Sus scrofa: one gene and its partners. The main gene of each other region encodes a partner of the protein of the gene in region 3 in a complex. Links are inferred from orthologs where the notes say so. Each region holds a gene or a part of one and is shown on either strand. Other genes may lie near its edges.

Region 1 (4,019 bases), on a different chromosome or scaffold from region 3:
GGGCCCGCCCAGAGCCAGCTCACCTCTCCCAGCATGTTGAGGGCCACGTTGACGGTGGCCAGGAGCGTCCCGAAGGAGGGGGCCACGTCCGAGTCGAAGGTGGGGGTGGTGAAGCTCAGGGAGAAGAGGAGGTTGTACTCCGCCAGGTCCAGGGACTGCAAGGCGAGACGAGAGCCGTCGAGGCCCTGCCGGAGCCCGGGCAGCTCTCGGCGCCGCGCGGGGCACGGCCGCGCCTCAGCGGCGCACTGGGGCCACTACCTGGTCCAGCAGGATCTGGCAGACGTCGGGGGTGAAGTGGCGCAGGGCTGCCAGGGTCCTGCTGAGGATCTTGAGGAGGCCGTACTGGACCGCGTGCAAGGCGCGCTGCTCCGCGGCCTCTGTGTCGGGCGTGGGCTGCTTGGAGGAGGAGGAGGAGGAGCAGGAAGGGGCAGCCGTGGGGGGCCGCTGGGCCCGGGGAGCAACGGCCGAGGGGAGGCCCTCCCCATTTTTGTTCTGCAGGGAGGAGACAAGAGCTGGAGCCCAGAGAAGCCAGGGGTGAGGCGGTCCAGGCGGCAGTGGCGGGTGGGGCTGGGTTACCTGCAGGTAGTGCTGTAGCATCTTGCGGCTATGCAGGAGGCAGGTGCAGGCCTGGCACAGGTAGCCCAGGTTTACCTACAGCAAACCCAGGGGAGGGCTGAGAGGGTCCTCGTGGCAGCAGCCCAGCCAACTGACCAGACCACCCAAGCCGGGCTCCACGTGCCAAGCACGTGCTTCTCCGCTCCCAGAGCACCTACAGTGCTCACCTCCCTACCTTCCCAGGCTCAAAATCACCACTGCTGCCAAGCGTGCTCACGTGCTAACTCTGGCTCAACAGAGGCCTGGACCGACTCCCTGGGACCCAGATGCATGTCGGACACAGTCTAAGGTCCCAAGTGAATAAATAAGGTGGGGGTGACTTTCCCATCTTACAGAAGAAACAGGCTTAGAGAGCGGTGAGGTGACCTGGCCAAGGTCACACAACCAGCAAACGCCAGGCTGTGTTCTTCCCCTGCCCTCTCTGGCTGATTCCCAGCTATGGGAATCTACGGGACAGAGCCCAGGTTCTCAGCCTAGGAGGCTGCCCTTCCGGAGGAAGCAACGTGAAACCAAACCCTGTGCTACCTGGGCAAAAAGCCCACACTCCAGGAACAGGCCCGCCTTTCCCTCAGCGCCCCGCCCCCGAGTGTGTCCCCAGACCCGCCGGGGGATGGCGGCGGAGGCCCACCTGGACGTCCCGCATGAGCTGGGGCAGGTGGAAGTGCCACTCCTTCATGAAGCTGGACAGCTGCAGGATGAAGCCCACAGTGTGGTCCGCCTCCTCCAGGCAGGCCAGACTCTGCACAGTCCTCACCGCGTTGAGGCACTGGGACAGGGGGACACAGGGAGAGACCAGGTGACACAGGGACCAGCCGCACCTGCTCCTGCCCTCAGACGCTGAGGTGGTGGCACCCGGTGGCATGGCGTTATGACTAAGGTTTCTGACCAAGAGGTTCCAGCTGAGCTGATCCCAGCCCATGCCCCGCACTTGGCAGGTTGGCCTGGGGCAGCCGGCACTCCGTACAGCATCCTTGACCCCAGCCTCAGCCCTGAACAGCCCCGACCCCCGAGACGCGGGCAGCCTCTCACCTGTAGGGTGCGCTCCTGGTGGACCCCCACGAAGTCCAGGGCCTCGGTCAGGAAGTTGTAGCGCAACGTCTTGAGGAGCCGCTCCATCAGAGACATGGACAGGCGGTAGACACCCGGCCACGAGGGGGCATCCAGGGACTTCCGAGAGGCGCTGGGCGTCTGAGACACAACGGCAGGCACGATGGTGGCAGGTGCCAAGGAGCCCAGCCGAGAGGGACAGGAGGGCCTCCCTGCAGGCCAGCAGCTAAGGCAGCCTGGCTTCCAGGAGGGGGAAACCTCCTGGAAGGGGCACCGGCGGGGCCGGCGAGGGTCTGGAGGTGGCAGTGACAAGGGAACAGCACTAGACAGAGCCACAGGAATCCCAGGTTCTGGACGTGGGTCCGACCCTCCTAGCTGTGACTGCTCTCGCTAGAGACCGCTGAGCGGGCAGGGAGGATTCTGAACCACGGCGCCTTCACTAGGCCGCTAAGGAAAGCAACCCGGGAGCTGGGGAAGGGCGTTGGCAGGCCACTGGCTCTCACCTGTGCTGTCCCATTGGTGCTGAGCTGGTACACACTCAGGAGGGGCAGACAGATGCTCTGGGTGATGCCGGCTCCGGCCACTGCTGTGGCTCCCTGGGAAGGAAAGAGGCGGAATGGGACGGAAGCTGTGCCCATCCAGGGACAGGGGGCAGGCCCAGGCTGGGAGGGTCACAGGCAGTGTCAGAAGCCACGCGGCACAAGCGAAGAGGCTCCCTGCTGCCCTGGGGCTTGCCTCCTACCTGCTGGGTGCGAGCCAGGGTGAGGAGCAGGTGCAGCGCAGCCTCGGTGAAGTGCAGGTTCTGCTTCATGCGAAGGCTCACCTCCAGGGTGGTGAAGAGGGTAGGCAGGATGGGGAGCCTTCGGGTCACCTGCAGCCACGAGTCACCGTCCTCATCCACCTCGCAGAGCTCCTTGGCCAGGTGCAGGCCCAGGACACACACCTGCTGGAGCCCAGAGACAAAGATGAGCAAAAGGGAAGGAAGTGGTGCGGGGGAAGGCGGGAAGAGACGCGGGCAGACCTCGTGTGGGCACCTGCACCTCGGGGTCAGCCACACCTCAGGGAGCCTGTGGAGACCGGACCCTCTCAGCCGCACTCCCTCCCCGCACCCAAACTGCCACTGCCCGATTCAGCTGCCACCCAGAGTGAAAACGACCTCCCCTCCTGCTGCGCTCCTCCCTGCCTGAGTGGTCCTTCTGTCTAGTCCTGGATCCCTCTGCCCCAACTCTTCACCCCAGGGGCTTTTCACTTCTCTCGACCTTCACCCGCCCGGAGCAGCGGGCACTCTGCACAGTGCGCTCCAGCGCACACACACCTGCGTGTTTTCATCACACTGTACCTCCCCTTACCTCCTGCAAAGCTTACACAGATTTTCTTTGATGTTTTATTCTACTTTACTAAAAAGTTGCTGGTTGTAACCAAACTGAGATATTAGTAGGTCTTAACCTGCCCGGTTGAAAAAACACTGTTCTACATACCACACCCAGCGCACTCTCTCTCAAGGGCTAATCTTAAACTCCTCAGATCCTCTCCTGGTCCTCGGAGGACCCGGGTCAAAGGCGCCGACGAGGCCGCTGGTCGTCCCTGCCCCGCTCTCAGGCCTCCCTTCGGCCTGGCTGGCTCCAGGCGACCATGAGCTCAGCACGTGCTAGTCTTGCTGCCTGAATCTTCCTTGTGCCTTCGGCCTGCCCGGCTCTACCAATGCTTCAGGTCACTGCCCAGAGGGCGCCTTCTCTCTGAGTCCCTAGATCAGGCGGCACCTCCACACTGCACCTTTTCCCTGTGTTTCACCCCTGCTAGACTTGCCAGGATGGACTCCCGACGCTCCTCTGCACAATCTGATTGACCAGCTTCCTCCGCCAGGCTGTGACCTCCGCAAGCGCAGTGCCTATCTGTCTTATTCACTAATCCCCCCAGGGCCTGGCACAGAGTGGGCAGCAACTCATCTTTGTGGAAGCAGGTGGGAAGGACAGCCAGCTTCCCAGGGCGGTCCCTCACCCCGTCACGCTGGTCCTTGTGCCGGGGCCGGGAGCAGTCATCAGTTTCCATGCTGTCCTTGTCCTCTGCAGCACTGCCCGATGCCAGGCTGTGGCGGGTCTGGTCGAAGAGTGCAATTACTTCTTCCTGGAGGGTCTCGCAGACGTTCAGCACCAGCTGGGAGTACTGGGGGATGTCACTCACTGCAAGCAGACAGGGAGGGGCGCGGTCACGCCGCTCACCAAGCTGTCCATCCCAGGCCGGCCGCTGGGAGTGCGGCGTGCTAGGAGGGGCCGTGCTGTCCTGTCCCGTGGGAGGGGAGGAGAGAGAGTTTTCCAGCAGACAAGAGTTCCACGATGGAAAACCCAAGCCTCACAGGC
Region 2 (4,800 bases), on a different chromosome or scaffold from region 3:
ATCAGCTTCATCAATCATTTCCTGCACAACAGGAGTCAAGTTAGATGAATTCATAAATGAAACAAAAATGTGACTAAATAATAGGCTTTTATAATGCTACCTGAATAGACAATTGTAGTCCCCCGCACACACACACACACTACAAGATGCTGCTTCTTATAATAGCTTGCCTCCCGAAAAGTTATTTGAAAACCCAGCCATCCTTTGCCACACATGTATCACCTGAGCTCGAAGATCATCTTGACCAGGGAGACGCCTAAAACCTAAAATAGTAAGTAAAACTATCCGTGAGGCAGCAGCGCCCATACGTTTGCCACACTATTGAAAAAGAAATTAAATGGTCACTAGAGGGACAAGAGAATGCTAGTTTTCCTCCAAAGCATTAGAGAAAACATAACACGGAAAAGCCACACAGGGCTCCAGGCTGACACATCACACACCTGCAGCTCCTCGTCAGTGAGGTTCTCGCCCAACTCCTTGGCCACGCGTTTTAGATTCTTGAACGATATCTTCCCAGTTTCATCGTCATCGAAGAGCTTGAAAGCTTTCAGGATTTCTTCTTTGGTATCCTTCTCAGACTTAACAAGTAGAACATAAAAAACACATGAGTAAAGAGACTCATAATTACCTGTGTCCCACAACCCTAGCACCATCCCCTCTGCCCTGCCACAACAGCACCACATGGCCTCATGACATTGGTGCTAGGTCACAGAAGATCAAAAATCAACCAGCGTAGAGAGAGGGGACAAACATGAAATTGGTACAATCCCAGAGGCTAAGAAGGAAATATAAAGGCTTGCACTTAAAACATTTTCTATACAAATGGAAGAGAAAAGTAGACTGCTTTTTAAAATACAGCAGCAGGAGTTCCCGTCGTGGCGCAGTGGTTAACGAATCCGACTAGGAACCATGAGGTTGCGGGTTCGGTCCCTGCCCTTGCTCAGTGGGTTAACGATCCGGCGTTGCCGTGAGCTGTGGTGTAGGTTGCAGACGCGGCTCGGATGCCACGTTGCTGTGGCTCTGGTGTAGGCCGGTGGCTACAGCTCCGATTCAACCCCTAGCCTGGGAACCTCCATATGCCGCGGGAGCGGCCCAAGAAATAGCAACAACAACAACAACAACAACAAAAGACAAAAAAATAAATAAATAAATAAAATACAGCAGCAGATGATGGGATTAAGTTTAGAGGAAATTCCACTGCTTAAGCTGGGATCCTCTTGGGGGCAGAGGGGAGCAGGGAGGAAAGAGAAGGCGATTTCACTTATGAGAGCACCAAGAGTTACTAGAATCCCAGGTACTCTGACAGAGGAAAAGAGGAAAAGCTTCCTGAACTCTTAACTTAGTCCCTGAAGAAAAATATGGGTGTGATTAGATGATTTCAAAGCAACAGGATTATTAGAGTGGGAAGAGACCTGTGCCTTGGGAAGCACAGCTGAAGCACTGATGGAGCTACTTTTCCACGGGCCAGTAGAATGTACATGAGCCACACTGAGGAGGAGCCAGGAGGCCAATGAAAGAGAAAGGGACCAATGGGTGAAAAGACACTTTCATATCTAGACTCAAATCTGTCCACCATTATTGGTGGAAAATACACCCATCATCTTAGCTAACCTACCATTTTCTGAGTCATCACAGTTAAAAAGTCACTGAAGTTCATTTTTCCTGTCCCTTCCTTATCGATTTCACTTATCATTTTCTTGATCTCTTCTTTCTTGGGTTCAAAGCCCAGTGCCCTCATTGCCACCTGCAATGAAAACAGGATCATCTCAATATGTACATCTAAACCCAGGGGCAAAAAATGACAGCATTGAGAGCATTAAGCCAGTATCTGACACAATCATGTTAAAATAATTAGGAAACACTATAACATTAAGCAAATTGATATTTGCACTCAATTTTGTTTAATAATACTTGAGGTAAATAAAGACAGAAAAACAGCACAGAAGAGAAAGAGGCAGAGAAAAGTCAAGGCAGCAGAGCAGGAATGTACAGGGCTTGCCTTAAGTTCTTTAACATCTATTGTCCCAGTTCCATCAGCATCAAAGAGATCAAAAGCTTCTCGGATTTCCTGTTTCTGCTCTTCAGTAAGCTCTGGTTTAGGGCTCATCCTTTTTCGCTGGGCAGCAGATGCCACGTTTGTCTTCTTAAAGTTAGAGGCCTTTATATGTTTCACAAACAGAGAAGCACGGTATTATGTAATAGGGTACATATTTTACATAAATATGTTACAATCCTATCTACTTTTAAAATAGTTTATACCAACGAATTCCAAAACTAACAGGAGAAATAACAGCGTTTAGTGAAAAGAGCAAATACTCTTTCTCTGCACCTCTATCCCTCCCTCTTCTTTACTACTGTTTCTAGAAGGAGATCCTTTGTTCTTTTGGATATCTCTTATTTGAAATCATCTAAAAAGAGAGCTGGCCAAGGAGCTGACTCTGGATAAATGTACAGATAATCAGCTCTCTCTGAATTTGGGACCCTAAATCTAAAAATGTCCTTAGAACGCTATTCTGCTTCGCTCTAAGTTATAAGATTTTCTGATTACTTCTAATTTGGCCAAATACTAAGTTAAGATGTATATTCTGTCAATATCGAATAATAAAACTCAATCCCCTCGGCACATCTGAGCCTTCCCCAAGAAGGTCAAAGCGTTTCCGAAGTCCCAATATTTAACATTTTAAATGCACATTAACAATCAAACACAATAAACTTCCCCTAGGCTCTGGGTAGAAACTTTGGTAGAGGCGGCCAGGAGGCCAGAGTCTGGAAGTGGTCGGGGTGTGCGAAGAGCCCGAGTCTGTTTTGACCAGAGGTGGTCACCGAAGGAGCCAGGGGAGCCCGAAGGACGGATAGGGGCCAGCTGTGGCTTGAATGGGACGCAGCGGCTAATCGCAGGCCCAGCAGGGCGGCCAGGATCTCTACCCTACCCTTCCGGGAAGCGCTCAGAGGAAAGAGTGCGCCAAAGCCGAGAACCGCGCAGGAGAGACGGCGGGGCCAGGCCAAGGCCTGTGAAGGGCTCAGCTTCTGGACACAGGGTTCGAAAGGGTAACAAGCACTCACCATCGCCGATGGACTCCGCTTCCCGTTGTTACGGCAACGGACGTACACACCGACTCGGCGCCCTTCCCACCGCCCCCTGCGCGCGGCCTTGCACCCCATTGGAGGACAGATGACTGCAGCTCCCCATTGGCACAGTGCTGGAGTGGGTGGGACTAACCCGACGGAGGCCTGACGCAGGGCGCAGGGCATTGTGGCGCGGCCTGGCCTTATTGGGCAGGATTACACCGCGAGCGCTGATTGGCCGAGCCAGCACCAATCCCTTTGGTGGAGGCGCCTCGGCTGATAGTAGCCTCATAAGGGTGGGGAGAAACAGGTGGTTGCTGGCGCCTGGAGCTCTGAGGCTGTAGGCTACCGATGCGCTGAGGCCGGCCAGGGAGGCACCTACCAACAGGTAAGGGTTGCGACCTCGCTCTTGGGTTGGCGATAGGACTGGAAAGGCAAGGAATTGGGTGGGGCCTTTCGCGGGGCTCGAAAAGGTAACAAGCCCTCACCCGGTCGGGGACTTTCTGGTCTGGACTAAGACTGAGTTAGGGTCAGAGGGGCCAGAGAAGACCGTGACCTTGCGTGTTGGAGCAGAGGATGTATTTACGGGGCAACTGAGACGGAGAAGGAAAGGCAGAGGCCGGGCGTTATCACAGAAATTCGGACGTCTGGGACTTAGAAGCTGAATTCATCCACCTGAGGCTCTTTCTTTGGGCGTGTCCGTCCCACCCCAAATAGATAACAAGATAGGATCACTTTAGTTCTCACCTGGCTAAAAGCAGCTCGGGAAGATGAGCTGGGGGCCTAGGAACGGCCTTTGAAGGGAGTGAAGGAGATTTGAGTGAGCATAAAGGGGACAGATCATCAAAATATACTCATTTTGACAACCAAACACTCAAGGCGGATAGTGAGGAGTATTCCAGGTGGGGACACTTCATGAGCAAAGTCACAGAGCCGTTTTGGAAAGGTGAGGCTTGCTCAGAGAATTACAAGGGGGCGTGTGCCACGGTAACAGATGAAAGGGAGCTGGAACAGTGGCCCTGGAAGTCCAAGGTCTGCCTTCCTTAGCCAGCCCAGTGTAAGGGCACTTCTTGCCTCTCAGCCCTTACCTGCTTCACCTCTGGGCATTGGCACAGCATTTTGGGAAGCAGGGGACAGAGCATAAGTTTCTCAGGCTGAAGAAAGCCTGAGATTTATTGACATTCATTAAGCGAAAATGTTTGCCGAACTTCTGCCCTTTACCCTCTTCCTCTTTGAGCACAAGCCGAGTCCAAAACCTTTTGGTCCTATTTGACTCTTCCTGCCCTGGCCCCACTAACTAGCCTCCACTTTCTGTCAGCTTCCTCCTTAAAGGGTGTTTCTTTTCTCTTTTCCACCTCTGTTGCTCCTGTCCCACTTCACGCCTTCAGCAGCAGCCCCCCTGTGGGTACAAGCCAGAGCTCTCACCATGCTCTGCAAGGCCCATCCCAACATGCTTCCTCCTCTCCCCTGGCTGCTCCAGCCCCAGGACACTAGCTTCCTTGATGGACTCAAATGCACGGACACACTCCTGCCTTCAAACTTTTGTTCCAACCATCTCTTCTGCCTGTTTGTTCTACTTGTTTCCTTCTTCCAGGTCTTTGCTCCACTGTCACCTTCTCAGTGAGCCACCCTAAGCATCCTATTTAGCCCTGCATCTCCCAGAACACCCAAACCCTACACCTTTCTCTGTTTTTATCCCCTAGTACTTATAACTGTATCCTTATTTATTTTGTT
Region 3 (4,019 bases):
CGTGCCCCCTCCCCTCCGGGCCCAGCTCGGGCCTGACCGGCACAACCCAAGAGAAAGCACATGCCCACAAGACCCCAAATCCAGTCCTTCCGCCTCTAACACCCTCCGAAGAGACTTCGGCCCTGCTTCCAAACCGTGGGATGAGGTCCCGCGACGCGCTTTTCAGGGCCTCCTTCGAAATGGGCTAGGAGATGGCTTCCTGCTCAGGTAAGCCCAAGCTCCTAGATGCAGTGCCAACAGAAGCTTCAGACCCTGTCCTACTTGCCGGGGCAGAGAGGCGCCCAGACTGAGGGGCTACAAGCCGACCTTTCCTCCTTTGCGACTGGCGTTGGAGTGATGCCGTAACCTGTGGATTCACAAAAGCCACCCTCTCTGTTGACACTTCTCTAGCTTTTCCTTCTGTTGCCACTGAAAAGAACGAAGTACCTTCCCTTTTTATTATTCTTCTCCTCGTTCTTTTCAACTCTGTTTTGTTCCTTAAAAGCCGTATGTGGCTTAGGAAGGAGGCCCAGGAGGAAATAACCCACTGCCACTAACAGACAAGCGTCGGGCAAGACTGTTGCTTTAAACTATAGGCAGAGACACTGACAAAGTGAAATAATGACGTGTGTGCCTTTCTAAGTTACTGTCACTACCCGCTCCAGGCAGATGCCACCCCCACCCCCACCGCCATCAGCCAAACTCTTGAAGTTGTCTTCAGGCACCAACTAAAGTCTCTGTAAGTCTCTGAAAAGAACGCTGACACAAAACCCGTTTTCCTTTCTCCAAATCTAAGAGCATTTTCTTGAAGCCCTGGCTCTCTTTTGGCCAAAACAGGAAGAGATGGCAGCAGGTGGGGAACCCTTCCCATTGCCCTGATTTACCAAAAAAAGTAGGTTCAGTCAAGGTCAATGAGTTGATACGTGAGCAAGGCCACCTGCTGCGTTCCTAGCTTTCTTCTGGGCGTCACTGGTGCAACGCCACTCTCCAGACTGCACAAGGGAAGGTAAATTCTTTTTTTTTTTGTCTTTTTTTGCTATTTCTTGGGCCACTCCCACGGCATATGGAGGTTCCCAGGCTAGGGGTTGAATCGGAGCTGCAGCCACCGGCCTACGCCAGAGCCACAGCAACGCGGGATCCGAGCCGCGTCTGCAACCTACACCACAGCTCACGGCAACGCCAGATCCTTAACCCACTGAGCAAGGGCAGGGACCGAACCCGCAACCTCATGGTTCCTAGTCGGATTCGTTCACCACTGCGCCACGACAGGAACTCCGGGAAGGTAAATTCTGACTTATTACAACGTGCAAATTTCTGGAAAGCTCTACCTTGGATCACATTTCACACTCCTTTCCTGCCTTGCTGAAGGTTCAGTGTAATGACAAGATACCCTTTTGGGGAGCGGGCTGATGCAGAATCCCTGCTCTGAACAGACCCAATCAAGGGCCGAAGGTGTGGTACCCTGGCTCACCAGAGAGTGAGACTGTTGAGAGCTCCGTCCCTTACGGTGATTGCATGTTCGTTGGGTTCCAAGAATCCGCTTAGTGTCTGTTAATTCTAGGTTTTAAATATCAAAGGAATTTCCTGCAACGTTATGTTAAGTAAACATCCCTGAAATGGAAACTGTTACAAATACAAGAGCCGTCAAGCCTCAGGAAGGGCCCCAAGCTCTCCAGAGAGAAGCCATGACCTGCCCACATGTGGCTGCACAGGGGCAGCAGGTCTGTGGGAAGAAAGCTGAGACACCAGCAAGCAGAGGCACTGGAGGCGAGGACGGCTGCGAGGGCGGTCCCGCGCGGACCGTACCGCCGGCGGCGGCAGCAGGGCCTACCTGCACTCCTTTATCACTTGGTGGATGTCGAACTCGAAGGCTGCCAACAAGATGTTGTCCAAGGGTTCTGCGCTGCTCTCACCTCCCAGAAACAGGTCCAGGCTGGACTGTGGAAAGGGGGTGACCCATTCAATCCCCAGATGCCAGCAGAGACTCAAGGGGGCAGGCAGGGCTGCTGGGTAAGGCACCCTGGGGAAGGGTGACGGGGTCCTGCAAAAAGCGCCCAAGGAAAGCCCCTTCCTGTTCTCCAGGGGGGTTCAACTCCAAGAGGCCAAGGGGTGAAAATGACCCAGCGGGGGCGGGGCGGCACCTCAGGGTTCCTATGCCCCAGGCGCACTCCGGGGAGCGCAGGCTCACCTGGGCATAGCAGTGCAGGTCCATGGGTTTCACTGTGGGACAAGAGTACAGGAGCCGGGTCACTAGGAAATGGTACCAGTTACTCAGAAGCTCCTTTTGCTCCAACAGGGCAGCTTCGTCTCCCAGCATGATCTGAGAAGAGAGACACGACTCCTTAGCTCTGGGCGAGACTGCTACATCACCTCCTGATCTCGGCTGCAGCACCAGCTTTGAAAGCTCTCTCCTTCCAGACGCAGCTGACAGCCCTGTCCAAGGACCAAGTTCCTGCCGCTGCTGCGCTGGATGCTGCGGTCCCCAGGGAAAGCCAGCTTGGGCCCCGACCTGGACTTGCTTCCCACAGACCTTGCAAAGAGACTCGAGGTGAGGACTGGAGGCGAATGTGCCATCTTGGAGGTGCCGCTCGCACTCCTCGTGCCAGTGCTGCCACTTCAGCTCCAGCTCGGTCAACGTCTGAGTGTTACCAGGCTACGGCAAGAGACACAGAGCGAGCCCGTCAGCACACGACCCCTTATTCTCATTGCAGGACCCCATCTCCAGGACCCGGGAGAGGCCAGCCGCTCCCACATACGCTGAGAACGGGCATTGTCCTCATCAGGTCCCCCAGGACGCGGCACATGCCTGCAGAGGTGGGGCTGGCGTCGGCTTCCTTGGAGAGCATCTGCCGGGCCTCGTCCAGCCGGCCCTGCAGCACCAGGATGGTCACCTGGAGGACACCCAAGGACACACACGTTCACGGCAGGCTCAGAAGCCAGTCCCCTAAGCCCAGACTCTGGCTTTCTAGCCCTGGAGAAGCTCCCGAGGTAATCGGATTCATTGAGTCTCACAGTTTGAACCTGTACCATGCTTCTCAAACCACACATGTAACCCACTGAGGTTGTAACTTTTTAAAAATAAGCACAATAAAATAAAAAATTCCAAGTGCATCAAATAAAGTACTGGTTCATAAAACTCTGAGTTCAAATACATACATACATGCACATATACAATCAACATTATTACCACTGAGCCTCTCCAGTCAGATTCCGTATCTGTGCAGACGGCTGCCTGCTGAAATTTATTTGTAACCCCCAAGTCAATATCTGAGGTGCTTTCACCATCATTTCTGGACATGTGCCCAGAAAGGGGCAACAAATGTGAGTCACCTGATACACACGTTACCAGCTGAGGCTGAACAACTGGAGTTCCACCTTCTGGTATCAGCTCTCACACTAAATAAGTATCTTTTTTGCGATCTATTTAGCGCCGTATTTTTTACATTTTCATGCGTTTTGTTGGGCCCCCAAGCGTTGTGCTGAAGTGCCGCTCAGTGCTAAGTGCAAAGAAGGCTATAACGTGCCATGTATCATGTCAGAATATACATGTTAGATGAGCTTCATTCAGACAAGGTTTACAGGGCTGTTGGCCATGAGTTCAATGCTAATGAATCAACAAGATATATATATATATATATGTATACTTTTTTTTTTTTTTTTTTTGGTCTTTTTGCCTTTTCTAGAGCCGCTCCTACGGCCATAGAGGTTCCCAGGCTAGGGGTCTAATTGGAGCTGTAACTGCCAGCCTAAAGCACAGCCACAGCAACACAGGATCTGAGTCGTGTCTGCAACCTACACCACAATTCACGGCAACACTGGATCCTTAACCCACTGAGCAAGGCCAGGAATCGAACCTGCCACCTCATGGTTCCGAGTCGGATTCGTTAACCACTGCGCCATGATGGGAACTCCAACAACATATATTAAATAAGGTGTTTCGAAACAGAAACATACGTAAAAGAAGATTATAAACCGACCAGCTGACAAAAACGTTGTGACCAGAGGCTCGAAGGAAACCTATAATTTCCTAACAAGGAGCA
Region 4 (4,564 bases), on a different chromosome or scaffold from region 3:
GAAAGAAGAGATCTAGATACTAGTTACAAGTAATAAGAGATGGTTAAAGAAGTCTAATTTAGAAGATTATAGTTGTTCCTTAAATGGTGCACGAATGAAGTAGAGCAGAAGGGCATTTAGAAAAAAATGACTAGTATTAAAATACACACTAAAATAAAGAATAAGCTTGAAGACAGGGAATAGAGCAGTTCACCTTACCTGAATAGGAAGAGATTAGGTAGAAGAAAACAGTTAGCAAATGAGAAAAAAAGTAGGTCGTAGCAAAAGTGTGGAGGGCATTCAATAAAAATTTTTAAAAATGTGAACTTTACGGAGTATACAAAATAAAGCTTATGAGCAATGAATAATATGATGAAAGAATTTTAGAAAGATGAATTTAATGAGAGTGTACAGGAAAAAGAGAAACCAATTAGGAAGTTTCAGATATGAATTAAGATCCCAAACCAATATAATAACAATAGCAACAAATAGAAGAAACATTATTAAAAAAAAGAATTGATCAAAACTGGGTAACTAAAAGAAACTGTGAGTACAGAGCTATAAGAATACTATCTTCCTCATTGTGCTGAGTGTAAGATCCAACCTACCTTAAATACCAATTCCCCTTTGATTCTTTATAAATATTTCTAGAACCTAAAATTGACACTTTCCCCATTAGCATTGTGTCAACATCAGATATCACTTATGTTTCCTGCACCAGAGAAAACAGGATGAGACTGTTACCAACATGTTCAAATTAAAAAACGAGTAACACTCCCTCAATCTGAAAAATATGTCACCAAAAAAGAAGAAACACCAAAGTGGGAAGAGGAATACGGTAAGTATAGTTTAAATACCATAGCTTTATTTTTTTTAACTACGTGAATGAAAAATAAGCCCCTCCATAGGAATGTATTTTTACATTATACTATTCATTTTACCATATGAGAAGGAGTTTCTAAAAAGATATGCTACAAGTACTATTCAATTTTATTAAAAGCACTTAATGGTAAATGTTTAAAATGATTTCATATTTCCAAAACCAAATTAAAATATTTATAAATATATTTTTAATCAACTGTCAATATGCAAATCATTTTAACAGATAGAGGTCGAGTATATTACCTTTAATTCATGGTAATCTATTGCTTCATCTTTGTCCGTGTCAAATAGTTCAAAAGCATCTTTAATTTCTTGTTTCTGTTCTTCAGAGAGTTCTCTTCTTTTTTTCCTTTTTGTTTTGTCTACTACAAGCTCATTTCTATGAAATGAAGACAGAAAACCCTATTTATTGCACTTTAATCCCATTCTCCTATGCTTCTAAATGACTCAAATAAGAATCCAAAAATACAAAAAATTAGCCAATTAATAAATACCTAAATTTCTAAAAAGGAAGTATTTTCCTTACATGAAAGGAAGAGATTTTCCTTACATGAGTCAAAGCCCTGCTCTTCCCATCGACTAAGGTGCTATAAACTTGTGCTTCCTAAAACTGAAAAGTGTTAAGTTATTAAAGAAATGAGGACCTTACTTCCCTTCCTCCTGGCTTTTTATTTATTTCCACTAATATTACTATGGAAGAAACAAGAAATGTGAATAAGAAACATTAGTTTTATATCAGAACCCCCCCAAAAAAACAAAGCACCCATAGTTACTCGTTTTACAATGTCTGTTAAAAAAAAAAAAAAGAATTCACAATTGATGATCACTACATATTAGGCTTACTTTTATAGTGTTAATAACTATCAAAATTACTACAAAAAGACATCTAACTCATCAATTAACATAAACTCTTTTGGCATTGTGGATCAAAAGTGTTTTTAGATTACACATTTTTAAGTTTGGCATTTTATTTGCAATTTCTCCCACTGATATTATTAACAATCACCCAAAAAACTTAGCCTAAGCATACTATTAAACACCAGAAAAGTACATATTTGTGCTAACGCTATATAATAATGTGGAGTCAACTGTCTTGTAAATCTCACTTAACATATACATTTGGATTTAATTTTTCATAAACCCTGAAAAAGGCTGAAGAAAAAAAGGAATTTATTGTAAAAGCCAGAAATATCTTGAGATGTTCCAAATTTTCAAATAGGGTTGCAAGTTTGAAGCAGAAGAATTCTGTAAAACTTAGAAAATGTAAAAACCCAGTTGATTTTATTAGACACGTTATCTGTTTGCATTTTAAGTTGCTTTGTTCTCTGAAATCTACCACACACACACACACACACACACACAAAAGGCAAGAGATGACTAGAAAGTGACCAAAAGAGATATGATAAAGCTGAGGTAGATCTTGCTTTCACAGGAGACCCCACTTCACACAAGCCTGGACGTTCTGGGGGTCGGCCATTCTTTTCCCAAGATTTTGAGAGGACAAGTTCGCAAACCACCGACCACTGACCCCAGCCAAGGATACCACGATTATGCCTTATCAGAACTCGGTACCTTTTTAGTTAGGTGTAACTCTATAGGTATTTTTACGGTAACACGCCTAGTCGGAGTTGGGAAGTAGGCAACAAATGGTAGGTTAGTGGTTGGAAATGAGCGAAAAATAAACTCAGGGAATCTAAGAGATTACCAACTAAAAGCACTAAAATGGGTCTACTATTACATAGTGAAGCAAGGAGGGCTTTACGTTATTTCTAAAATCTACGGGTTAGATGTTAGCAGGAAGGGAGCTGCGGTGGAGGCCATAAGCGAAGGAATGACGGGAACTTTACTAAGGATGCTCCAAGGCCTGGTTTCCTAGTTCACATAAACAAGAGCGTAGAAACCTCGCGATATTTCACTGCCTCCTCGAGACTATAACAACCCAGGTTGTTGGGGTCCAAAGCCCAGTGGCCTGACAGAAATGACCGTCTAACTGCACGGAGCTCACCCGGGCCCCGAAGATGAGGAGTCTGGCCCAGGAAAGGTGGCCAAGGCTCCCTTCCCTCGTCCCAAACTGCATTCCCTTCCTTGCCTCGCCCCAAGCTGCCTCCCTTCCACACACACCCACCCTGGGGCCCGCTGCGTGGTGTGGAGAGCATTGCCGCCTCCTCATTACCGACCTCAGAGCTAAACTCATTTTCTCTTCGGCCAGAGACTTTCCTCTCGAGAACGACTTTAACCCCCTACTCAAAGCCGAACGACTTCCACAAGCGGTTCAACAGACAACGACCTAAGCAGCCTCAAGACCTCCCACAAGGTAGACATTTCTGAGCTGGATTGGTTGAAATAGCTAATGCCTTGCCCATTAGGGCGGAAGCGTCACTAGTCCTCTTCTCTCATTGGGCATTTTTCGCGTCAATCAAAGAGCTCTCCCTTTCGGCTCTCTTGCTGCCCCTCCCGCCTTTTAGGTTGACCTGTAGCGTAGCCCCCACCCCCTCCAATCCTTTGCGGAGCGAGGGTCTGAGTGTCCGCTGGGCTTTTCGGACTGAGGGTGACTGACCAAAGCCTCAGGAGAGAAGGCCTGCGGCATGTGGACGACGTCTGGAAACGGCGCAGGAAGGGAAGAGACACCCCGCAGGTTGTCCTGCTAGGAGGAGGAAGTAGCTTGTGAATGAGATCTGCGAAATTTGGCTCCACTCTATTCTTAAATTTTGGATGATTTAAATACATGGGGAGTTTGTTTAAAACTCAGATTTAAGTGTCACTTTCCTTCATTCTGATTCTAGTAGATGTGAATCTGCCTTTTTTCTTTTTCCTTACAAAATCCAAATGATTCTGAGGCAGGAGCTGTTAATTATACCTTTATAATCACTGGGTTGAATTATTAGGCTATTTACGGTGAAGCTGTGCCTAGATGGCAATTGCTCCCCTATACCTCCTTTGAGGTGCTTTGGTACTTCACTACCGAACCAAGTCTCTTGAAGCTCACTGGGGTATTTAATGTGTTTACCTGTTCGTCTCTCCTACTAATCTTGAAGGCCGGGGTTTCATTTAACGCTATTCCTAAGGCCTAGTACAATGTCTGATGCAGAGGTGCTCAATAAATATTGCTGTATTGAATGGAATCTTGCTATGGAAACTCACAAAGTACTGAGCTAAACTGCAAATCTCATAAAATAGCCTGAGAGTGTCCAACAGGGGAAGGGGGAAGATATATATAGAAGGGAAAGAACACAGCAGGATAGAAGAAAGACTTCTTGAAGGAGATGGCATTTATGTTAGGCCTAGAAGTTTGAACTAAATTTAGATAAGTAAAGAATGTGTTGACTTAAAAAAAAAAAAAATGCACAACCTAAAAGTTAAGTTTTGTTTGGGGCAAAATCAGGTCTTAAGCCCAGGAGGAAACATCTGAAGTAACCCAGAAAAAAACATTCTGCAGCGGGAGTAGGGGGGAATAAGGATATAGAGGAAGTTTTTTATTGTCATTGGGGTTTTGGGTTTTTTTTTGTTGTTGTTGTTTTTTGAACAAAGGGCAGGTAGTAGGAACAAAAGATTACCGAAAACTAGGTATCTCAAGTTACAGAATTAAGCCCTTTTCTTTGGGAAGACCCAGAGGTCTGGCCTCACTAAAATCATTCCTTTGATATGCACTTTAGCTATCTGGGCCAGTATCCCGTGTTTTCACAGCCTAAATTTCCTCACACTT
Region 5 (4,698 bases), on a different chromosome or scaffold from region 3:
TTCCATATGTCAGTATCTGGTTAGTCATATGGGAAACCAGGGAGTTGTCCTTGCTCCCTTTTTCCCTCACCATTCTGTACCCCATATTCAGTCCACTACCAGGTCCTAATGAAGCTACTTTCTTTTTTTTTTTTTTTTTTTTTGTCTTTTTGCTATTTCTTTGGGCCGCTCCCGCGGCATATGGAGGTTCCCAGGCTAGGGGTCGAATCGGAGCTGTAGTCCCCGGCATACACCAGAGCCACAGCAACGCAGGATCCGAGCCGCGTCTGCAACCTACACCACAGCTCACGGCAACGCTGGATCGTTAACCCACTGAGCAAGGGCAGGGACCGAACCCTCAACCTCATGGTTCCTAGTCGGATTCGTTAACCACTGCACCACGACGGGAACTCCTGAAGCTACTTTCTAAGTGTATCTTTTTTTTTTTCTTTTGGCTGCGCCCAAGGCATGTGGATGTTCCCGAGCCAGGGAATGAACCCACACCACAGCAGTGACAACTGCTGGATACTTAACCTGCTAAGCCACATGGGAACCCGGGGGCCTGTCAGGAACTCCACGTGTATCTTGAGTCCATCTAATTCTCTTTCCCTAGCCAATCCCACAACCAGCATATCTTACTTGGTTCACCATGAAAGCAAATTCTTCTTTCATACTGTACCCATCCAATCCAAGTCTACTTTCCACAAAGTAGACTGATTATTTTAAAGTGTGACTTTGACCATGTTAGTAACACTTTAAGACTCTCCAATGACTGCTCAATGTACTTAGGATAAAAATCCCAAATCCCTGAAAAGGACCTGAGGGTTCTTCTTGATCGGAGTCCTGCTTACCTCCCTAGTCTCAGCATCACTCATATCACTTTCCATTTTGCCCAATGCACTTATGCCGCACAGAGCTTCAGTCAGTTCTTCAAATTTGTCAAGTTCTTTCCACCTTGTGGACTCTCCATTTGGTGATCCCACTTGCTAAACTGCTCTCTCTCCCAACTCCATGCCTAGCTAACCTTTCCTCCTTCAGATGAAATGTGACTTACTTCAGGCCTTCCCAGACACGCCAATTACATCTGATTTTCCCATTAGCTTCTCATACTTTTCCTCTGAGGGAAGTATGAAAAACTTCATTTACATACTTATGTGGGGTCATTAGCTTAATGGCGTTTTGGGGGTCACACCTGAGGCATGTAGAAGATCCCCGGCCAGGGAAAGAATCTGTGTCACAGCAGCAACTTGGGCTGTTGCAGTGACAATGCCAGATCCTTAACCTGTCGCACCACAAGGGAACTCCAGCTTAATGTCTTTTTCCTTCTCAAAACTGCCCCATGAAAGATGTGTCCACATCTATTCTTACACTACTATATCTTGCAGGATGAAAATGGAGACTGTTTTTGTTCATCCCTGCACTCCTAGAACACCTAGCAGTGCTTGACATGTAAAAACTCAAGACTAATTTGTAGAATGAAGGAAGCTTAAAGCACTATAAAAATATAACGGCTTCATGCTTAGAACTGATCTTTGGGGCTTTACCCTCGAAGCTACATTTCTTCTTTTTAGTGCTGCCAGGGAGGGCACCTCTTCCAGAACTCTGTGCCTGCTTAATTTTCCACTGACTCAGATATCAATAGGAAACAGTCTTTCTCTTTTCCTGTCTATAACCACTTCGGAGAATAAACGACACCTTGGGAACAGTCACGAAAATTCAGCCGCCGAACAAAACGCCCTTTCGGGAGATTTGACAAACACAGCACTTACCAATGAATGAACCTGTTTCTGGTGACGGAGAACAACTTGCCACTTTCCACGTAGTAGAAGCCTCCCGCGCTCTCACTGTATTTCACAGCTCCGGCCACTGCATTTGCAGTTCCTGCAAAAGAAGAGTGGTCACCCTTGCACACGTGGTTCTCAGGGGATGACACGGACTGAGGGCGCTGAGAAAGCAGAGGGTGACAGACTGAAAATCCATGCAAAAAGGGGAAAAAAAGAGAAAGAAGTAGAACACTAATGAAGCTCTGAATCCGGGGCTGGAGGCATGTGGGCTCAGGAGGATGAACTGGAGGACAGAGATTTAGGGATCCACGGGAAGATCCCGAGGGCAGGAGCTGCATCGAGCCCTACTGGATGCTTCCGTACCAATGTCGCAAACTGCGAATTCCCGAAAGTGCCTTGGCCTTTCGCGCTCAGCTCCGCTGAGCTCTACGAAGCTCCGTTCCATGGCTCCCGCCGCCGCCATCTTCCCGCCGCCGCCGCCGCGAGGCCTGACGGGACACCAGCCCAGCCGGGCGGCTGTCGTCACTTCCGGGGGCGGAGCAAGCACAGATGCGGACAGGTGAAGAAACCCGGAAAGGTCTAGGGCCTGTCCGACCCACCGTTGTGAGGCTTCCACCGAGCTGGCCGGAGACAGGGTGGGCAAGGAGGAAGCCAGATGAGAGGAGGCAGGGGGAGCTTGCAGGATCTACCTGCAGGAACCTTTGCGTGTCCGGCGAGGAAGCCCCAAGGGGCGGTGCCATTTTCCCGGCGGCCTCAGGGAAGGGGGCGGAGCCGGGTTTGTTTCCATTTTAAAAACTCCGGCGCGGGCAGCGGCTGGGCAGAGCCTCCAGGGAGGGGCGAGGTCCTAGGAGGCCACGCAGATGGGCGCCATCTACTGGATTTCGAGCTTTTGATCGCCTCTCCTTGCTTCCCCGTGTTACTCAGTGAATCTCCGCCTGGTCTCCTTTTCTTCACCTTTCAGCGACGTGGGTTGGGGGCGGAGTGAAGGGCAGAGTGGCCTTTTGTGTTGGGTTTTTTCGAGAGACTGTATTCGTGTGTTCTTGTATAATGAAGCATAATGTGTTTAATTAAACATTGATGCAGTTACCTGCTTGAAGCCCCTAAATGCTACTCACTTGCATACGTGAAAGAAATTTCCTTTATCTTCCATTTGTGATCTGTTTGGAAGGTCTTGTGCTTTACCTGCATTTAGGGCAGAGTAGATGCTGGATTTGGAGGAAAATGCCAGTCTTCAAGGGGAAAGTTAGTCTAAATCTCATGTATCAACATGACAGATTAAAGACGACCACAAATTCTTTGACTTTTTCCCATCAGGAGGTGGGTCTTTGTCCCTTCCTCTGGAATCTGGGAGGGCTCTGTAACTGCTGTAACTCATTGAACACAGCAGAAGTGACTCTGTGCCAGATTAGCCTTTTAATTTTTTTTTTTTTTTTGGGTCTTTTGTCCTTTTTAGGGCCGTACCCACGGCACATGCAGGTTCCCAGGCAAGGGGTCCAATCGGAGCTGTAGCCGCCAGCCTATGCCACCGCCACAGCAACACCAGATCCGAGCCGCCTCTGCGACACCACAGCTCATGGGAACGCCAGATCCTCAACCCACTGAGCGAGGCCAGGGACCTAACCGGAAACCACATGGTTCCTGCTCATATTTGCTTCCGCTGCACCAGGACAGAAACTCCCAGACTAGCCTTAACAGAGTCTGTTTCTCTCTTGGAGTGCTAACTAGGAGGGAAGCCATCTAATAAATTCAGCTATCCTGGGGTTGCCATCCTGGAGGAATCATGGGGAGAGACCACATGGAAGGGCTCTCAAGTTACTTAAAGTGAGAGATGTCTGGTGAGAGAGTCAAAAGTCACTAAGTTTGGGGTAATTTGTTAGCCAGCAATAGATATCAGGAACATTCTCTTGTCTTTCCTTTACATTCATACTTTTCCTCAACAGTCTTCCACATTTCATTCTTAGATAATGGAAACAACTCCAGTTGATCTTATTTTGCTGTTGTTCTCCCTGCCTCTCCATTTTACAAATACACTCTAACTGTTCCTAAACACCACTTACATTTTGTTTCTTCTTGTTTCACAAAATACTATATGCTGGGTGGCTTAAACAGCTAACACGTACTGCACACAGTTTTGGAGCCTGGGAAGTCCAAAATCAAGAGACCAGCAGATTCAGCGTCAGGTGAGAGTCAGCTTCCTGATTTATAGACAGCCATCTCTTGTGCCGTGTCCTTAAATTGTGGGGATTTTTTTTGTTGTTGGTTTGTTTTTGCTTTTTTATGGTTGCACCTGTGGCATATGGAAGTTCCCAAGTTAGCGGTCCAATTGGAGCTGCAGCTGCTGGCCTACGCCACAGCCGCAACAGTGCCACATCCAAGCTGCATCTGCGACCTGCACCACAGCTCATGGGATAAAGTGGGTCCTTAAACCCACTGAGCAAGGTCAGGGATTGAACCTGCACTCTCATGGGTACTAGTCAGACTCTTAACCCACTGAGCCATGATGGAAACTCCCTGTAGGGTCTTTTTTTAATAGGGCACCAATCCCTTTTTCGTGAGGGCTCCACCCTCACAATTGAATCCCTTGGGATGGTAATTTATAATAAGAACATTATATTTGGTCTTTGTCCCTCTTCCTGTCACAGAGAACCTGAAACTCTTGTAATTCCCTTAGTGATAAGAGGATGACTATCCTATGTTATGTTAATGAAGTCATTTTTGGAAAGTTTCTAGGTAACCTGAGGTTGGGGGCGGGGGCAGTGATTGCCAGGGGAAACAACCACTTGATTAGAGGTTTGGAACTTTTAGCCCTACCACCCCAACCTTTGGAGATTAAGTTCAGTTAACAGTGGCCAATAATTTAATCAGTCTTGCCTCTGTAATGAAGCCTCCAAAAAGCCAGAAGGATGGGGTTGAAAGCTTCCAAGTTGATGAACCA
Region 6 (2,753 bases), on a different chromosome or scaffold from region 3:
TTTTGTTTGTTGTTGTTTGATAGATGGAGAAGCCAAAGTGGAACAGCTTGCAGTGAGATTTAAAACTAAAGAAATGGCTGATTGTTTTAAGAAAACCTTTGAAGAATGTCAACAGAATTTGTTGAAACATCAGAAAGGACAAACATCACTAACAGCAGAGTTATCAAAGGAGACAAATCCTGTGGTGTTTTTTGATGTTTGTGCAGATGATCAACCTCTAGGACGCATAACCATGGAATTATTTTCAAACGTTGTTCCTCAGACCGCTGAGAACTTCAGAGCACTGTGCACTGGAGAGAAGGGCTTCGGTTACAAGCACTCCATCTTCCACAGAGTGATCCCAGATTTTGTTTGCCAAGTAAGTCTTCAGTGCACCTCACAGTGGGGGTCTAGAAAGGGACAGCACACCTACCTGGGCAACTTGAGTGTTTCTCAGTTTTTCCAGACTTCCTTCCCTTTTCCACACAGCAGTTGGTGTCCCTACCCCAGCTTCTGTCCCAGCAGAACATTCAGTCTAAAAGGGTTCATATTTCTAAATGCCTTGAACCTGCCAGAAATTGAGGTGGGAAAAGATCTCTTCCATTTTTATCCTCCTTCATAAATGCACGGTGCTCAGTTTTCAAACTAACAAAGCTTAGGTTCGCAGCGAAGCTGGGTGTTTAACACCTGTCCTTCAGTGGTTAGTTCTTTATGCATTTTAACAGTGTCTTTGGGATTCTTGTTAATTGAAATCTCTTTTCAGGGGGGAGACATCACCAAACATGATGGATCGGGAGGACGGTCCATTTATGGAGATAAATTTGAAGATGAAAACTTTGATGTGAAACATACTGGTCCTGGCTTACTGTCAATGGCCAATCGAGGCCAGAATACCAACAATTCTCAATTTTTCATAACACTGAAAAAAGCAGAACATTTGGACTTTAAGCATGTAGTATTTGGCTTTGTTAAGGATGGCATGGATACTGTGAAAAAGATTGAATCATTTGGTTCTCCTAAAGGGTCAGTTAGTCGAAGAATTACTATCGTAGAATGTGGACAGATACAGTAAAATCATTGTTTCAGTAAATTTTTCTTGTATAAACCGTTGAATTAAAGCCTAGCTGTTATGACAATATGGTAATTATGTTCAGCTTTTGAAAATGGACGTTTCCAATGTATAAATGTAAAATTGCAGCTTATAGCTGTTGTCGCTTTTTAATGTGTTATAATTGACCTTGCATGGTGTGAAATAAACGTTTAAACACTGGTGTATTTCAGGTGTACTTGTGTTTATGTACTCCTGACATCTGTATTAAAGTGGAATAATACTTATTTTGTTCAAAGCAATAGACCTTCTCAAACTATTGAAGGATATATATGCAATTTAATTTTAATTCCTTTTATGATATTGGACTTCCTGCATGAATATACTTACTGTTTGAATAAAGGGACCATGACTTGGATAATTTTTCCTTTAGATTTGGAATATATTTTGTAATTTTAACTATTGGTGTGCTCATTTATGAATAGAGATTCACTTGTGAATGGATGGAGCCACAGAGGGTAGAAACTTAACCAAAGTGCTCTTCTATAAATTCTTGCACATCCTGTATAGTTAAATTAACTTTTAAGCAAAGTAACTTCTTTCCTTAAAAAAGATATGAAGCTTCCAAGGTATTAAATTAATTTTTACATTTTAAACAAGTTGATTATTTACATTTTTAGAAAAAAATCTTTGTCATCTGTTTCTGCTACCTCAAACTGCACTTGGTTCTGAGAGAACTTGAATTTTTCCTTGCAGTTATTGTGATAAAGTATGCATATTTTAAAAAGGTCTATACCATGTTCTTTGGTTAAAGATTTGCTTTATACTAGATTGTTGCAGTACCTTTTTCTGGTGAATTTTTGTAGCAAAAATAAAGTGACAATTGTTAACAGCCATGGCATTTAAAAAATTCATTGTGCATCTAGTTGTTTGTTCATTTTGGAATCAAATGAGGATAATTAGAGATCTGTAAACTCAAAAGTGCCATGTAAATTCCAGAGTTCCCAAGGACATGACTTTTCAAGTTGGGTAGACATTGAAAACTTGGAAACGGCTAGAGTCACAATTCGACACAAGGGGGAGATGTACTCATCTGACTACTCAGTGTAGCACTGCCAGGACAAGTTAGCACACAGGTTGCAACTTAGAATCGCTGCCAGTGGCTGCTATCTGCCTTCCTGTGTTTTTCCCAGTGAGGTCGCCTCATTTGTGTAGGGAGGGGCTGTGGGGTGGGCTCACTTGAGGTTCTCCTCCCTGGAGCTGGTGGGCGGCGCTGACCCTCAGAATCAAGTGTGTGTATGTTTGAGTATCTATATGCGTGTGTCTGTTTTTTATGTGGGTGCGCGTCTGCGCTGAACCTGCTTCTCAGCGGGGACTCGGGTTTAGGGGAAATTACAAGTAAAGGCAAGCACACCTGAGATTTCTCGCTCTGTAAACAGATTTCCGTGGCACCTTGAGCATTACAACTGTGGACTGAAAGATGTGGAAACGGATACTTTTAACCAAAACCGACTCTCTAGGATTGCTGTTCACAGCTGTTTCCAATGGGCAGCAGCATCTTTGACACAGACCTGTCGGTCAGGAGCCAACACGTGGGGACAGAGACTCAGCCCGACCCCGCCCGAATGCGGCCCAGGTGCTCCGGGCGCAGAAAGGGAAGAAGGGCTGATCTTCGATCCACAGGCATCACACCCTCTGGACCCAAGAGCACAAACGGACGCCAGCG
Region 7 (4,019 bases), on a different chromosome or scaffold from region 3:
ATTTCTCGGGCTGCTCCCGCGGCATATGGAGGTTCCCAGGCTAGGGGTCTAATCGGAGCTGTAGCCGCCAGCCTATGCCAGAGCCACAGCAACGAGGGATCCGAGCCGCATCTGCGACCCACACCACAGCTCATGGCAACGCCGGATCATTAACCCACTGAGCAAGGGCAGGGATCGAACCCTCAACCTCATGGTTCCTAGTCGGATTCGCTAACCACTGCGCCACGGCGGGAACTCCTCTATGCTGTTTTTAAATAGTTATTGTCCCAGCCAGAATAAATTACTTATTTTTTCAGCTTTTCAGTTTTACAGATTCTGATCACCCCCCATTCCTGCTTTTCATTTGGAGGATAAGGAGGAAAGGAAAGGCAGTTACATTTATTGAGTGCCTAGGATATGCCAGACATTATATTGTATTTTTACCTCATTTAATCCAGTCAACCCTATGAAGCAAATGATGTTCCTATTTTATACGTATAAGGAAACTGAAATGTAAAAAGGTTATCTTCTCACTCCATATCAAGTAACTAATAAAGTGGCAAAACCAGGTTTAGCTGACATTCTAGTTTATTTTATTTTATTTGTCTTTTTGCATTTTGTTGAGCCCCTCCTGCGGCATATGGAGGTTCCCAGGCTAGGGGTCTAATTGGAGCTGTAGCCACCAGCCTACACCACAGCCACAGCAATGCGGGATCCGAGCCGCGTCTTCGGCCCACACCACAGCTTACGGCAACGCCAGATCTTTAACCCACTGAGCAAGCCAGGGATAGAACCCACAACCTCGTGGTTCCTAGTCAGATTCGTTAACCACTGCGCCACGACGGGAACCCCTGATGTTCTAGTTTAAAGTCAGGATTTACTTTAAGTTAGGTGACTTGATATTGTTGCTTGTGGATTCTGATATTCTTTTTTGCTTTTTTGCTTTTTAGGGCTGTGCCTCCAACATGGAAGTTCCCAGGCTAGGGGTCGAATCGGGGCTGCAGCTGCCAGCCTAGGCCACAGCCATAGCAACAGGGGATCTGAGCCCTGTCTGTGACCCACACCACAGCTCAAGGCAAAGCCTGTTCCTTAATCCATTGAGTGGGGCCAGGGAACCAACCTTCGTCCTCACTGATACCAGCTGGGTTCATTACTGCTGAGCCACAACGGGAATGCCCTGATATTCTTTTAAATTAATGTTTGATTTGTCTATAGAACTCTTTATGTTTTAAAGTCGCTGTGAGCATGACTAAAATGTGCAGACGATAACCTTATCATATTTTCCAAATACATGTTTTATTTGATGCTGGTTTATTTTTTTCTTTAAGCTGCTAGTCTGTGGGGTCCTTACAAAGACATTTGGCAAACCGTGGGAAATGCTCTTTGGAGAAGACAACCTGAAGCCGTCCACCTTCTTGACATGATTCTGAAGAAGCACAAACCTGACTTCATCTCATTGTTCAGAAATCCAGTAGGAAAATTTCTTTTTATGCTTCTTGGATTTGCTTTTTCTTTTCTTTTTTCTTTTTAAGACTAATGGAGCAAGGGAATTCTTAATGCATGTAAATGACATATCTTACTTGTTCTAGTGTGTTGATTCAAATTTTTTCTAAAAATGGAATTTTTCTTAGCAATTATTATCTTTTTTTGGTTCTCCATATAAATTAAAATTGTATTTATCTCTAGCGAGGAGATATCTTAATAATGTCTGAATATGATTTAGAAAGTTCAGTATATTCCAGAAATAAGAGCCTCATTGGAATTTCTGACTTACAGTTAATCCAACTAAGCTTAGTAAGATTGATTATTTTATTTATTTCCAGGTATACTTCAACATTTTAACTCTTCATAATGTTATGTAAGTTGTGTTAGCTGAACTAATTAATTCTTACATACCATTAATCACTGCATTTTGACATACATTTCAGCCAGGAGTTGAGTACTTCACTGGCTGGGATTTGTATTTGGAAACTCCTTTCCCCGCTGTTTGGCAGCTTTGTTTTTTATACACTAACAAGACTCTCTAAGAACTATTTATGAATTTGTCTTACCAGAAAGAACCTTAGCTTGAGAGACAGTTGAGCTGAGTTCTTGTCTCGACTCTACCACTAAAGAGTTGTATAACCACAGGCAAGTCACCTGACTTATCTGAGCATCAGTTTTTCCCTTCTGTTAATAGAGGAGTTGGATTAAATAACTGAATGCCCTTTTTCAAGGTATAAATACCTAAAGCTTTTATGATCCATCTGGTATTCTATTTTATATGTTATTTATTAAATATTTGCACAAAGTAAGCCTTTTTGCAAATAAGACTACATTTTTAAATAACGTACTAATAAGCTATTATCAGCCCTACTAATTAATTCAACATTTCATTTCCATTTGTTGTTTCCCACTTGAAGACTTTGTTGTTTTTATATTTATTAAAGATATAATTGGAAAATTCCTTAGATACTTGAAAAACAGTAGGCTAGTTTGTGTGATTTCTCAACATTTTGTAGTTCAGAGTTTAGGAGAAGCGGTTACTGAGAAAGTCATAGTAATATAAAAAGTTAGGAAGTTCCCTTGTGGTGCACAGGTTAAGGATCTGATGTCGCCACAGCTGTGATGCAGGTTGCAACTGTGGCACAGGTTCAGTTCCTGGCCAGAGCACTTGCATATGCTGTGGATGCAACCAAAAAAAAAAAAAAAAGAAACTGAAGGTAGAATGTTACCACAATGTACTTGTAGGTTTTCTACAATATTATTGCACAAGAAATATTCCTGTTTGTCATGATATCAGGCTGCTTTATGAATAAACTTCTCCAGTAACCTTTTTTTTTTTTTAAGGTCACAGGTGTGGCATATGGAAGCTTCCAGGCTAGGAGTTGCAGCTGCCAGCCTATGTCACAGCCACCACAACACCAGATCCCAGCCATATCTGCAAGTTACACCACAGCTCACAGCAATGCCAGATCCTTAGCCCACTAAGTGGAGCCCGGGATCGAACCCATATCCTCATGGATACTAGTCGGGTTCGTTTCTACTGAGCTACACGGGAAACTCCTCCAGTAACAATTTAGTACCTTGTCTCTAATATGCACTTTTCATTGCATGATTCTATTTATTCATTCTATTTATTTTCATTGTTGTAGCCAAAAAATGTTCAACAACATGAGAAGGTTCAGAAAGCCAGTACAGAGGGAGTTGCCATCCAGGGTCAACAGGGAACCCGACTTCTTCCTGAACAGCTCATTAAAGAGGCCTTTATCCTCAGTGACCTTTTTGATATTGGAGAATTGGCAGCTGTTGAACTTCTTCTTGCTGGTAGGTTGACACTTAATGAACCTATGTTAAGGTAATACATAAATATAAAATGTTTATTCACTTGTAATTTGAAGTATTATATCATTTAGATTCTAAAATGGTTTCTAAGGATGTAGCTTATTCAAAATATTTCCTTTTGTTTATCTTCGACCAATCGGAAGGTTTTAGTTAGCAGAGTTGTTAAAGGAACTTTAACTGTTTCAAGATAGGCTTCTCCGTGGTTGTTGCTTAGGAAAAAATAACTGGCTGCATCTCTGAAGTTTTATAGTAGAAAGTATTTATTGTCATATAATGAGTAAGAAGGTAGTATTACTTCTTTTTTGGAATTTTTTTTGAGGGGTTGATTCAAATAAAGAATAAGATTATTTCAATAATACTGAGTTCTAGGAAGAAAATAAAACAAGGCAGGGGGATGTAGAGAGATGTGGGCTAGTAGGGGGCAGCTGTACGTGGGGTACTTCGGGACAGCCTATCTGAGACTAGGACTTTTGTCTTGACACCTGCGTGATGACAAGATACCAGAATTGTTGGGGTGGGATGTTCCAGGGAGAGCAGACAGCTTGAGGTAAGAAGAAAGACATGCTGAAGGATAAGAGACCATCGAGAATGAGGGGGAGAGTAAAGGAAGACAAGGACAGAGCCAGAGTCAGATCATAGGCTTGCAGGCCATGAAAATTGCAATGGTGAGCTGTTCTGACTGCAGTGGGAAGTTGTTAGCAGGGGCTGTAAGCTGG

The links.
Region 1: NUP85 (region 3) and NUP188 share a complex: the UniProt entries of both Homo sapiens proteins name them as parts of the nuclear pore complex. The link is inferred for Sus scrofa from reciprocal best matches to the Homo sapiens genes NUP85 and NUP188.
Region 2: NUP85 (region 3) and CETN2 share a complex: the UniProt entries of both Homo sapiens proteins name them as parts of the nuclear pore complex. The link is inferred for Sus scrofa from reciprocal best matches to the Homo sapiens genes NUP85 and CETN2.
Region 4: NUP85 (region 3) and CETN3 share a complex: the UniProt entries of both Homo sapiens proteins name them as parts of the nuclear pore complex. The link is inferred for Sus scrofa from reciprocal best matches to the Homo sapiens genes NUP85 and CETN3.
Region 5: NUP85 (region 3) and NUP160 share a complex: the UniProt entries of both Homo sapiens proteins name them as parts of the nuclear pore complex. The link is inferred for Sus scrofa from reciprocal best matches to the Homo sapiens genes NUP85 and NUP160.
Region 6: NUP85 (region 3) and E3 SUMO-protein ligase RanBP2 share a complex: the UniProt entries of both Homo sapiens proteins name them as parts of the nuclear pore complex. The link is inferred for Sus scrofa from reciprocal best matches to the Homo sapiens genes NUP85 and RANBP2.
Region 7: the proteins of NUP85 (region 3) and NUP205 are in contact, whole or in part, in a cryo-EM structure (PDB 7TDZ), measured with the Xenopus laevis proteins. The link is inferred for Sus scrofa from reciprocal best matches to the Homo sapiens genes NUP85 and NUP205. Residues at the interface, in XP_041431608.1 of Xenopus laevis: Ala86, Glu87, Glu88, Ala89, Ser90, Gly91, Lys92, Ser93, Arg94, Lys95, Pro156, Pro239, Met240, Gly245, Thr246, Gln247, Thr248, Leu249, Thr250, Glu251, Phe252, Glu253, Leu254, Lys255, Trp256, Gln257, His258, Trp259, Pro315; in XP_041443600.1 of Xenopus laevis: Glu1477, Cys1480, Arg1481, Cys1484, Asp1485, Ser1517, Gly1518, Tyr1519, Leu1520, Lys1521, Val1522, Val1524, Asp1525, Ser1574, Gly1575, Gln1582, Gln1638, Gly1641, Gln1642, Gln1645, Val1648, Leu1690, Asp1691, Ile1692, Gly1693, Leu1694, Asn1695, Asp1696, Gly1697, Ser1698.

What each region holds. Positions count from the first base shown.
Region 1 is NC_010443.5:269,307,634-269,311,652, reverse strand, and holds part of NUP188 (nucleoporin NUP188 homolog), read right to left. Parts: intron 3,843-4,019; coding exon 3,661-3,842; intron 2,609-3,660; coding exon 2,405-2,608; intron 2,259-2,404; coding exon 2,166-2,258; intron 1,804-2,165; coding exon 1,645-1,803; intron 1,382-1,644; coding exon 1,244-1,381; intron 652-1,243; coding exon 259-651; intron 156-258; coding exon 24-155; intron 1-23. UniProt on the Homo sapiens protein: Component of the nuclear pore complex (NPC), a complex required for the trafficking across the nuclear envelope. Required for proper protein transport into the nucleus.
Region 2 is NC_010461.5:123,902,831-123,907,630, forward strand, and holds the start of CETN2 (centrin-2), read right to left. Parts: upstream 3,217-4,800; 5' UTR 3,163-3,216; coding exon 3,064-3,162; intron 2,159-3,063; coding exon 2,000-2,158; intron 1,745-1,999; coding exon 1,616-1,744; intron 579-1,615; coding exon 441-578; intron 22-440; coding exon 1-21. UniProt on the Homo sapiens protein: Plays a fundamental role in microtubule organizing center structure and function. Required for centriole duplication and correct spindle formation. Has a role in regulating cytokinesis and genome stability via cooperation with CALM1 and CCP110.
Region 3 is NC_010454.4:6,083,263-6,087,281, forward strand, and holds part of NUP85 (nuclear pore complex protein Nup85), read right to left. Parts: intron 2,871-4,019; coding exon 2,736-2,870; intron 2,633-2,735; coding exon 2,510-2,632; intron 2,300-2,509; coding exon 2,168-2,299; intron 1,918-2,167; coding exon 1,811-1,917; intron 1-1,810. UniProt on the Homo sapiens protein: Essential component of the nuclear pore complex (NPC) that seems to be required for NPC assembly and maintenance. As part of the NPC Nup107-160 subcomplex plays a role in RNA export and in tethering NUP96/Nup98 and NUP153 to the nucleus.
Region 4 is NC_010444.4:97,590,144-97,594,707, forward strand, and holds the start of CETN3 (centrin-3), read right to left. Parts: upstream 3,178-4,564; 5' UTR 3,056-3,177; coding exon 3,039-3,055; intron 1,241-3,038; coding exon 1,105-1,240; intron 1-1,104. UniProt on the Homo sapiens protein: Plays a fundamental role in microtubule-organizing center structure and function. As a component of the TREX-2 complex, involved in the export of mRNAs to the cytoplasm through the nuclear pores.
Region 5 is NC_010444.4:14,838,242-14,842,939, reverse strand, and holds the start of NUP160 (nuclear pore complex protein Nup160), read right to left. Parts: upstream 2,885-4,698; coding exon 2,879-2,884; intron 2,449-2,878; coding exon 2,127-2,448; intron 1,861-2,126; coding exon 1,749-1,860; intron 1-1,748. UniProt on the Homo sapiens protein: Functions as a component of the nuclear pore complex (NPC). Involved in poly(A)+ RNA transport.
Region 6 is NC_010445.4:47,530,546-47,533,298, reverse strand, and holds the end of E3 SUMO-protein ligase RanBP2, read left to right. Parts: intron 1-23; coding exon 24-358; intron 359-742; coding exon 743-1,051; 3' UTR 1,052-1,937; downstream 1,938-2,753. UniProt on the Homo sapiens protein: E3 SUMO-protein ligase which facilitates SUMO1 and SUMO2 conjugation by UBE2I. Involved in transport factor (Ran-GTP, karyopherin)-mediated protein import via the F-G repeat-containing domain which acts as a docking site for substrates.
Region 7 is NC_010460.4:13,767,678-13,771,696, reverse strand, and holds part of NUP205 (nuclear pore complex protein Nup205), read left to right. Parts: intron 1-1,307; coding exon 1,308-1,450; intron 1,451-1,802; exon of another isoform or gene 1,803-1,837; intron 1,838-3,113; coding exon 3,114-3,285; intron 3,286-4,019. UniProt on the Homo sapiens protein: Plays a role in the nuclear pore complex (NPC) assembly and/or maintenance. May anchor NUP62 and other nucleoporins, but not NUP153 and TPR, to the NPC.